Linked DNA regions of Neurospora crassa OR74A. The protein of the gene in region 3 interacts with the protein of the main gene of each other region in a pairwise test. Links are inferred from orthologs where the notes say so. Each region holds a gene or a part of one and is shown on either strand. Other genes may lie near its edges.

Region 1 (3,553 bases), on a different chromosome or scaffold from region 3:
TTTGGTGTTTCTGTCTTGTGACTCCATCTTGAAGTGAAGAATTGCAGGTGAAAATGGAGACGAGTGGAAGGCTGCCGGGGAGAGACCGGCGATCTCCATCCAGCTGCAGCTTGAGCTGCGGAACATCAGTCCGGTGGACTTCTTTTTTTTCACCGCCTAAAGTTCAACTGGAGCTGTGGAAGGTCTGAGGGTCCGTTATGTACTGCGTATCTGTGAAAGTGGGGTTATATGCAAATGTTAACAACAACGAAAGTATCTCGAAGAAGATGACTTGACGTGATTTGCAGTGATGCGTGTTTCCATCACATGGAAAATTTCTTAGTCTACTCATTTGTAATAGGCCTGTAGTGTACATGAGTTACCAAGACACAGTTCTTGCTGGGATATACACAGTACACCACGGTTCTTCAGGGTGGCAAAGAAGCTTAATTTGGGCACAAGAAATAGCGACTTTGTCGAAGGCTCGCTCTCTGTTTCTTGTAGAACTACCAAGCTACCAAGTCACATCCCAGCAGAGGTGTGGTGAACGCAAATCATTCAAACAACAGTGGCCAACAGAAAATTTGTTTTAACCAAGGCCCCGGTCAACACCGACCAAAGTCAGGGATACTATGTCTCAGAGGAGAATCATTTGAAATCATAGAGAACGATCCGCTACCCATGTGGCGGCGAGTTGTGGTGGACATGGCGAGCCGTTTTCCCCTGTCGGATGTCGGAACGTCCATGGAAGCAAGGCCGCCGTATGGTCATGAGAAAGAAATACGTCTAAATTTCGAAACCACCTCCCTTTGTGACGCCGTCTGTGTAAAAATACAACCCCCCGTACGATACCATCCCTACGATACGAAAAACATGGAACTGGAACATGTCTCTGTTATAACAAACGCTCCATCGGTACAGTCCAAACCATCCACCACCTGTTCGTATATATCGTGATGTCACTGAACACCCCTGCCTGTTCTACCTGATGTTGTATTGCTTCTTTATGGATTCGCTCAGCTCTCTCGACACAATCACCTGAACTTGCTAACGATAACCGCAATGATAAGGAGGACCAGCACGGTGATGATCGCAATGGTGATTATCCGATTCGTAGCCATCCTAATGGTAAAGGCGCAAGTGGTCAGTATTACCTAATCATCATGATTCGCATTGGGACAAAAGGGGAGGGTGGTACCTGCGTGCCATGCCCTTTAGTGTCTTGACACTTCGGTCCACATAGCCTTCACTCTCGTATAGTATCGTGGTGGTGTGCTCAATGACTTCGCGTTGGCGGTGCAGGTCGGCCAGGGTGCTGGCGCCAATAGCCTCTGTCTCGGCGGCCAGCGCCTGACTGGCCTTGAGGCGTTGTGTGCTCCGATCGAGCCGGTCGGTGCCTTTTACGTTTCGGGGGAAATAGTCAGCATTCCGTTTCTTCTTGCCATGTATAAGGTGCTTCTGTCCACCACCCACCAGATAGCAGCTGCTGCCTCTGCTCAAAATGCCTATCGCCACTCGAAGAGCCCGGGTTATCGGTGTATCTGCCGCCGAACAGGGCGCTGCGGTCCGTCGCCAGCGTCTGCAGCTTGCGACGATACTTGTCCACGTCGCTTCGGTAGTCGCGCAGTCGCTTGTTGATGGCGGTCCGCGACGAGCTGGGCACGTTCTGCTTCTCCATGTTCATCTGGTCCAGCAGCTCGCCGGCCTCCTCCAGGGCGCGCTCGGCCGTGCTGAGGGCGGCTTTCCTGGGCTCGCCCGTCAGCTCCGAGATTTGGTCGAGCTTCTGGACCAGGTCGGCCTGGACCAGCTGGTATTCCGTCTCATAATGCTTGAAGAGCTCTGTGCCGGCTTCGCTGTCGAGAATGTTGGCCATCTTGGATTCAATGGAGTTATGTGTTGCTATCGGATGTGGAGGTTGGGGTTCGGGGCAGGTGTGGGGGTGCTGTCGTCGGGCTGGCCGTATCGGGGTGATGCTCGTTTATCGGCGGGTATCGTTATTCTCAATTATTCAGATTCGTCATTAATCATGCCAAAGAGGGGCGTCGTTGATGCGGTCGCGTTGGACGAGATGTGGTTGGGCTGGCGTGTGGTTGGTCTGATCGCAAGGAGTAGTGGTCGTCGTCGAATGTTGTCTGTCGCCAGCGACACCAGTGTGCTTCGAGCCCCGTTAGTCGTTGCGGTCGTCTCAGCAGCCTGACAAGCGAACTGAAAGGCAGGCAGGCCGCAGGCGGGAGACGACAGCAGCTGTGGGCACGGACCAGCATGGGCACATGACATTCCGCTTGTTACATACAGTTACAGTGGTTACAGTTGCAGCCTAGGCGGGTGACGTACACATGCTTGGCGTTGCCGCATGTATTGCAGTGTTGTTGCAGTACGTGTACGCAAGCGCTGTATGTATTGTTTGCAAAGTGTAACTTACACGGACCGTGTCCAGTTGAACGTATCAACCCCGCCTGGGACTGCCGGGGACTTTGGCGTCTTGAAACTCTTCAATTGGTTTCTTTGTATGACTGAGTTGACCTTTCACCAGCCAGCAACGAATTGAGACCGATGACGACCTAGGGAAGGGAACTGTTTTGGGGGACATATCGCTTAGAAGGTCCAGTCAACGGCCACGTCCCAAGACATGCTAAGATAATATAGTGTACACTGCCTAGACACTGTCACGGCTGCTTGACGCGAACCTTGGCTGGTTTCCCCAGAAAATGGACACATTGCCAGCCTTTTGTTTCTGGTTGGTGTCTTGAATTTTCCAAGTCTTTTTTGGGTTTGTAGTCTGTCGCCACCGATGCTTTGGGAAAATGTTCTCCTGGCAGTCGGGTCGGATTGGTCGGCAATGTTGTTTTGCGGCGCAAATAGTAGGTAGCTGCTCGACATTGCCACGAGATTTGCACCTTCTGTTAAATCATATATATGTCAGCTATGACATTCGGATTTCGTCGCCGACATCAAAACACCAGGACTGCTCATGGCCATCTGGTCCGGCCTCGTGGCACACACTTACTTACACACATACACGCACTCATACACTCTCTCTGTTGCTCGTCGTCCAGCAACACCAGGCTTCAGCCCAGCGATACCGACCCGTCTGACTAAACCTCCACCACAAAACATCCATCACCAACGGACAAATCAGCGACCCCGGTCACAATTCGAGAATTCGCTGCGAGGTTCTTCATTCGAAGGTTTGTCAGGCTGATCCACTCTCGGCACGCCATAGGATTCGCTGGAATACATCATCGCTTGGCTAGTGGAGAGTGTTGGCGACATTCACCAGGATCGAGTTACGTACCGCCGCCGCCGCCGCCGAAGGAAAAAGCCCACGCCAACGTCCGACGGTTTTGACACATCGGCGGCCGATTTCAGCGACTCACCGTTGCCGGCGTCCACCGTCATCCACCATCGGCACCGAATTGGCCCCATCTTTTTTAATTTGGCCAGGCTAGCTCAGGGCTTGGCCAGTCCCCTGCCCGCTTACCTTTACCAGGATCTAGCAGGATCTGCCGTGCGCTTCCGCCGTCGCTTTTTTTCTTCTTTGGGCGCCGCGGGTGTCGTGACCGGCCACTGGCAC
Region 2 (3,197 bases), about 1.7 Mb from region 3:
CCAAGAAGCAAAACCCATACCCACCACGACATTACTGGGCGGCCATGGCGAAGATTGTCAACACCCCTTCAGGCGAAATCTCAAATACCCAGTGCGTGGTTCTGAAAGCTATGATCCAGAACTACGAGGAGAAGTTTATCCATGCATATGGAACCGCTGCCCTTGCGGCGTTGAGGACCGCGCTCGTAGAGTTCCCTGCTCGGGCACCGGTCAAGTCGAGTGCCGTGAACTCGTTGCAGGTTGTCCATGATCTGCTCAGGAAGAGTACTGGAGCTGCTCTTGGATAAATAAAGTGGTCGTGTGTGTCAGAGGAATGGGGTTGGTGTGTTGTGTGTCAGAAAGAAAAGTCATATCAACGGCGTTCAGGATTTGGTCATTTGAGGTTTTCAGCATCTTGGAAGGATAACGTCTGCCATGTGCCGGTTACGAAAAGTTAGTGTTCTATCAGAAGAAACTGAAAGGCCGGGCTTCCCAGCGTATTTGGCGCTTTCTGTTATATACCCAGCGTATCTACAATCAAGGCGGCGAAGCTCGTAGTGGGCATACAGAAACAAAAACCTACCACATCAGCACTCAGAGAAAGAAAGCCCTGTAAAGGGTGCAGAACTGAGCCTTTGTATGGCTCCAAACTCAATGTTGCTGACCGATGCCCGTTTTCACCTGGACCATGGCGGCAACAACTCGTGGCTGCAGTGATCCAGTAGGTCATTATTGTATTACCGTATGACCGTCCATCATAATGCTGTAGGCGGTAAAGCAAAATAAGTAACAGGAGAGCCAAACATCATAGACACCCCTTCAGAACTCCTCTTAACCGGCAGAACCCAAAAAGAAAACAGCCCGCCTAGTCTAGTCAGCCAAAACACAGCCCCAATCCTGCCGTCCAGCTCCCAGCTTACAAAATGAGCAATAAAACCAACAACAAAATCAATACGAAGATCAAGACCGCAATGCAACAACTGCTCAGCGTGTCCTCGTTGTGCCTCATCACATATGTCAACTTCTGCATCCCCGTCTGCAACCTCCCTCCCACGCGGTCCGCCAAATCGTCCGCCACCTCCAGCATCTCCCTCTGCTCCTCCAACTCACGGCCCATGTCGTCCGCCTGCCGCCTCAGCACGCCGACCGTCTGGAATACCCCATCCAAATGCTGATCCTGCTCGCGCATCATCTGTATCTGCTGCTGGTGCTCGAATTCGGCTGCGTAATCGTCGTCTTCGCCGGTGGCGCCAGCGGCACCGTTTTCACCGTCCGGGATGGCGAAAGATGATGGGTCTGGTAATTGGTCCTTTTGCTGGGTACCCTTTCCAGAGACGGCGGATTTGGATGCGAGCTCCTGCCGCATGTTCTCTACCTCGGACCCGACATCTTGCACAAGGCGCTTGCGCCGCGTGACTTCGTGCGCCGACAGGCCATATTGCGTGGGGTCGCGCTCGATGGCCTTGACGGACTCGACGAGGTCGGCGAGGTCTTCGGCGAGGGAGGAGAGGGCGGATTCGAGGTCGGAGCGGGCCGCGATCAGCTCAGGAGAGTCGGTGGAAGAGGAGGAGGAAGAGGTGAAGAGGGAGCGGATGCGTAGGTAGGAGGTGAAGAGGGAGCGGGTGGATTGGAGTTGGGTTAGGACGTCCCTGTGTTTGAAGTTTTGGTTAGCTGTCAATGTTTTGGGTTGATTGTGGTTTGTGAGTTGGGAAAAAAAGGGGGAGATGGTCAGAGCATACTGTTGGACCTCAAGGAAGGGGTCCTCCTCGTTCGTGGAGGACATCATCGCGCTACTGCGAAGACGAGGAGGAGTAAAGCTGCGGCATCAGTTGTCGGTCGCATCAATCGACATGCGCCGGCCTTATTAGTCCCAAGTTGAAGGAAGTGGAGATTCACTGCATAGAGGTAAAGAGATTGAGGAAGTGGTGGTATATGCAGTGATCTATTGTGTTTGATTAAAATAAAGACCAAAGTATAATGACGTTGCGGCCGGCAGGGTTCACGATCTCGACAACTGCCTCGAGGTACTGTAGTAGCGGCGCTATGCATACAAGCGCGGCGCTCCAGATTGACACCCCCCTTTGTGGCTGAGGGTGAGTCTAGAAAGTACATGTGGTTCTGGACCCGCCGTCGGCTTGGCGTGAGACATCCATCCCATGGACCTCTTCGGCTGCCCCGCTTCTGCAGCGGTGCAGCTCCCGCTCCCTCGTCTCAGGGCAATCGCGCAGTCGCTGTGAACGAACCCCAACGATTCCATCAATCCCCGTCTTGTCTGAACACCTTGACTGCTGCCCCTGTTGTTTTGAGGGGAAAATGCGAGGCCCTTGATCTAAAGAACTGGTTGGACGACGCGCGCTGTCGGTCCGGTTGTCAGTGCACTGGTTCCAGGTTCCCCAGTCGCGGGGACGGGCAGTGCCTGGAGGGCAGCTCGCCCGATTTGGTAGGTGAAACGTAGCTTCAACGGAGCCGGGGACCACTGTAACCGAAGAGAATCATAGTGTCTCATCAACTGTCCTTTTCCTTCTCTCTTTCCTCCTCCTCCTCTTCCATCTTCTTTTCCACCAATTCTTTGACTTGGGTCAGGTCATTGTCTTTTTCCATCTCAACCCAAAAACTATCGTGAACCGTCAAGATGTTCAGCTTGCGGCGACTCCTCCTCGCCGCCACGCTGTTCCTCGGCGCGATGCTGCTCTTTGCGCAGTCCGCCGAGGCAGCCAAGGGCCCCAAGATCACCCACAAGGTCTACTTCGACATTGAGCAGGGCGACAAGCCCCTCGGCCGCATCGTTATGGGTCTCTATGGCAAGACCGTCCCCAAGACCGCTGAAAACTTCCGCGCTCTTGCCACTGGCGAGAAGGGCTTCGGTTATGAGGGCTCTACCTTCCACCGTGTTATCAAGCAGTTCATGATCCAGGGTGGTGACTTCACCAAGGGCGATGGCACCGGTGGCAAGTCCAGTATGTTGCTTCCAAGTTCCGTTATGCACTTTGGTCCATATCATTGACCGCTTGTGTACAGTCTATGGTGACAAGTTCCCCGATGAGAACTTCAAGCTCAAGCACTCCAAGAAGGGTCTCCTCTCAATGGCCAACGCTGGCAAGGATACCAACGGCTCCCAGTTCTTCATTACCACTGTCATCACCTCGTAAGTCGAATACACTCGAGCCGCATGGTCTAGGAAGTGCCCGGTTGGCTAATACACATTTTGTCGCAGTTGG
Region 3 (3,743 bases):
CTGGTGGGCGCCGAGATGAAGAACATGATTGGTATTTCGGGAAAGATGTTTTCGACGTTGGGTGATCACAGAATCAATATTGAGATGATTTCTCAGGGTAAGTTGGGTTCTTGATCCTGTTTGTGTGTTTGTGTTTGTGTGTGTGAGAGTATATGGATGGCTAATCATTGTGGGTGAATAGGTGCCAGCGAGATCAACATCTCGTGTGTTATCGACGCCAGAGACGCCGAGCGGGCTATGAATATCTTGCATACCAACTTGTTCACCTTCCTGGAGTAAAGGGGCAGCCTACTGCTGAGGGTGTAACAGAGTGGACTTTGTGTCGGTTTAGACGTCTCTGTCCTTATTTTTGCGGTGAGTTAGACGTGAGAGAGTTAGACGGTCCGAGAGAAAGAGAAGAGAAGACGGGTTTGAACCCACGGGGGAGGAGTGAAGAAAGAAGAAGAAGAAGTTGAATAGACGAGCGGTTGTCGGATGGAACCTGTATACCATCTAGGCAACACATAGCGAAGATTTACTTTGTTTTATTTACATGGGCATTTATATAGAGCATGGCAGGGAGGTTAACGAAAAGGGTTAATACAGCGCCATAGACAAAATTTACACAGGATGATCATCCAACGGACTTGGAAGTACCGGAGCCTTGTCTTAAAAAGTAGATTTGATCAAGCGTGAAACTGTTTACTTTTTGTTTTTCCCAAGCATGGCCATTACACACAATGCAAACAGGGTCACAACATGAAACTATAACAAACCTATTTGAGATAAAGGGGCCGTGGTCCTCATACCTCGGTTCTCATACCCCCGATTGTTGACATCTGTATAGTTGTCATACAAACCGGTTTCCCGGAATCCTTTCTTGATGTTCTCTCCCCATTTTTATTACATTACTACTTTCTTAAATTCCCTCTTTCTTCGGCTCACTCACCCCTTTCGCTGTACCGTGTAGTGGTTTCGGTTACCCGTCCGCCCATCAACTCGATTGTCCCACACATAACATCTTGAAGTTCGTCCCTTTTATGTCTCTCCCCACTCTCTTCAACCTCCATGTTTCTTCGGCTTGATAACCAGCAAAATAATCATACCCGCTATCAAAATCAACAACAGAAGTATAATCTTCCTCTTGGTTGTCTTCTTCTGGTACCCGGACGCAACCGTCAACTCCTTGGCCGCCTCCTTCACGTCCGTCGCCATCCGCTCCACGTTGTAATCGATCCGATCCAGCATCGTACCCTGGTCGATGACCATGGTCTGAAGATCCCGGAACAGATCGGACAGGTCGATGATGCCCTGAGCGATTTCGTCGATTTCGCGCTCACGCTGAGAGATCGCCTGGTCGTTGCTGTGAAGCAGCTTCTGGTGCGTTGACGCTTGTAGGGTCGACTGGGAGAAGACCCGGTCGGCGTCGGATTCGAGAATGGAGGCGCTGTTGGAGCTGTTGCCGGGCGGGAGGCCGCTGGGGCCCAGGAAAGAAGAGGTGGCTGAGACTCGGTCGAGGGTTGGACTGGCAAGGCCGCTCATGCCTCTTAGCTCTGAACAGGGAGTGTGATGTCAGCATGACTGTTTAAAGTCAGAGTCGAGTGGTAAGGAAAGTAGGGGGGCTCACTCTTTAGATATGCGCTCTGCTTTTTTCGAAAATTGGCGCTGGCCTCCTGGACTCTCGTGGCCAGGTTGATTTGTATGTTCTTGGCCATGACCTCGTCGGCGCGACTCATCTGGCCATTGTGTTTGCCCTCGCGCACCATCTGCTCGATGCGCTGGATGACGCGGTGGCAGTCGTGGAACCCCTTGGTGATGGACTGCGTAAGCTGCTCTATCTCACGTTCCTGGTCCCTCTTAGCCTCGTCGTCGTCAAACCCCGGCAGTACGTGCTTCTGATGCAACCGCTCCAGCTTCTGGCTCTTGCGGGCGATGTCGGCCAGCAGCTCCGCCACTTCGTCCGACGAATCCGCCCACCGAGGCGGAAGCAGGTCCATCTCGATCACCGCATCGCCGTCGTCGACATCGTAGGCCCCCGCGGATAAGAGGCCGCGCCGGTCATCGTCGGCAGAGAAGAGGACCCCCGTGCTGCTGCCAGCCCCGCCGGAAGTCCCGCCGAAGCGGTCGCCTGGGTTCTGAGGGGCATATCGGTTGCGCTGGGTCGGGTGGTGGGCGTAGGACTGCCGGTACGAGATATAGCTGTGATAGTCACATGGATGTTAACGAACGACTCTCATCTCCGGGGGGTTCAAGAGAGTTCCCCGTACAGATTAGTGCGGTCGCGCCACATGGCGGACGCCGGAAGGGCGAAAGGCTCCCTTCACCTCGGTTGCACGCCGAAGGCTAGTCGTCGTCTCGGTCAGAGGTGAGAGTCAATTGATGGTAGTTAGTGGTAATGGCGGTCCAGAGGCGGATTGGAATGGGTATGGCATCACATCGCATCGCATGGACACGGCTGTGTATGTGGTCGAGGTTGAGTTGCCAATGTCTCCGTCCCTGGTCGATCTTCCCGGGGGGAAATGTTTCTAGGCCTCTCTCTTTCACTACCTACCTACCTATGTAATAACAGCAACAGGGCCAGTAGCACTGGGCAGCTGCTACCACTGACAATGACGCTGACGCGGCGGTTCAGAAACACAATGCTGGCCAGTTCCAGGGATGGGGGGCATGAATAACATGGGATGCATGTCACCTGTCAGGCACTTGGGGCCCGCCAATAAGGGGTAGCCTTTGTCAGTGTCTCAAAGAGTCGGTCAGCTGGCAGCCTGGGGGACGGGAGCTTTCAGCCTGTTAACAGTCTGGCCCGTCTGTCCTGGGCTGGGGCTGACGACCTACACCTCCAGTGGTGATGTATCCCATGCAGAGGTTCCAGGTAGGTTGCAGCACCTGCGAGACGCCGGGATGGGCTCCAGGGCATCTTTAGTTTTAGTCTCATTTTAGCGAGTGTGTTACAGTTAGGTAGGGAGGGACCCCGCCCCGCCTCCCTCCACTCCATGCTTCGCAATCGGCGGCCCAGCTGCTCATTTAAGGAACGTCGAACTAGGAGAACGGGGACTTGGACCTACCTGGTAGGTAGCCAACGGGTCTCGTTCGTTTCTACTGGGGGACCTCCATATCTACCACTTCCAAACCAGAACACCTTCGAAATCCTCCTTCGAACACATCCAACTATCTCACACGCTCGCTCTCCCCAGACCCTCTATCCACCCCTTAATACTATATCAAGATGGTATGCTCATTCCTTATCTCGGTGCCTCCCGGTCGAATCTGTTTGAGCGCAACAAGAACCCCGCGGGTTAGCTCGAGGGGCTGCGGCCGGGCTGCGAACATACGATGATGGCTGGAAAGGAGACGGGTGACTGACAAGGCTATCAACAACAGGCGGACTCCCTTACTGAAGAGCAGGTCTCTGAGTTCAAGGAGGCCTTCTCCCTTTTTGTAAGTTGTTTTTCTTGCGCCGAGCTTCCTTGTCGCCTATGCTCAATCCCCTGTGTCGCCGTTTGGCGCAAATCGTGCGAGCCTGATGACTGACCCGACACAACGTGACACAGGACAAGGACGGTGATGGTTAGTCTTCCGAAACCCTACCCCCCCAGATATCCGAATTCATCCACCACCAAGTTAGCGGCAAGCGCCTTGGATCATAGTAGTTGCGACGCACCCAACGCTTCTCACCGCCCGCCCCTGAACCGAGTTGCGATGTGAATACGAGCCCTACCGTAATGCACGCATACTGAACAGCAGCTAGGCCAAATCACCACCAA

Evidence for each region.
Region 1: the proteins of NCU04119 (region 3) and NCU05959 interact in binary tests that used the Saccharomyces cerevisiae proteins (3 or more experiments, as listed by UniProt). The link is inferred for Neurospora crassa OR74A from reciprocal best matches to the Saccharomyces cerevisiae genes TLG2 and VTI1.
Region 2: the proteins of NCU04119 (region 3) and NCU01199 interact in binary tests that used the Saccharomyces cerevisiae proteins (3 or more experiments, as listed by UniProt). The link is inferred for Neurospora crassa OR74A from reciprocal best matches to the Saccharomyces cerevisiae genes TLG2 and TLG1.

The regions. Positions count from the first base shown.
Region 1 is NC_026506.1:3,311,334-3,314,886, forward strand, and holds NCU05959 (vesicle transport V-SNARE protein VTI1), read right to left. Parts: upstream 2,170-3,553; 5' UTR 1,853-2,169; coding exon 1,453-1,852; intron 1,377-1,452; coding exon 1,178-1,376; intron 1,102-1,177; coding exon 1,014-1,101; 3' UTR 604-1,013; downstream 1-603. UniProt on the Saccharomyces cerevisiae protein: t-SNARE found in various SNARE complexes involved in multiple transport pathways. The composition of the t-SNARE complexes is specific for a limited number of v-SNAREs and therefore allows only the vesicles carrying the matching v-SNARE to fuse.
Region 2 is NC_026505.1:3,218,286-3,221,482, forward strand, and holds NCU01199 (SNARE domain-containing protein), read right to left. Parts: upstream 1,981-3,197; 5' UTR 1,766-1,980; coding exon 1,719-1,765; intron 1,629-1,718; coding exon 896-1,628; 3' UTR 600-895; downstream 1-599. Other genes in the region: gle-1 protein, read left to right, coding at 1-287; NCU01200 (peptidyl-prolyl cis-trans isomerase B), read left to right, coding at 2,612-2,936, 2,998-3,124, 3,194-3,197.
Region 3 is NC_026505.1:4,908,236-4,911,978, forward strand, and holds NCU04119 (SNARE complex subunit), read right to left. Parts: upstream 2,600-3,743; 5' UTR 2,270-2,599; coding exon 2,247-2,269; intron 2,179-2,246; coding exon 1,607-2,178; intron 1,533-1,606; coding exon 1,039-1,532; 3' UTR 648-1,038; downstream 1-647. Other genes in the region: NCU04118 (aspartokinase), read left to right, coding at 1-97, 182-279; cmd (calmodulin A), read left to right, coding at 3,206-3,208, 3,361-3,417, 3,531-3,546, 3,728-3,743. UniProt on the Saccharomyces cerevisiae protein: t-SNARE that functions in transport from the endosome to the late Golgi and on the endocytic pathway.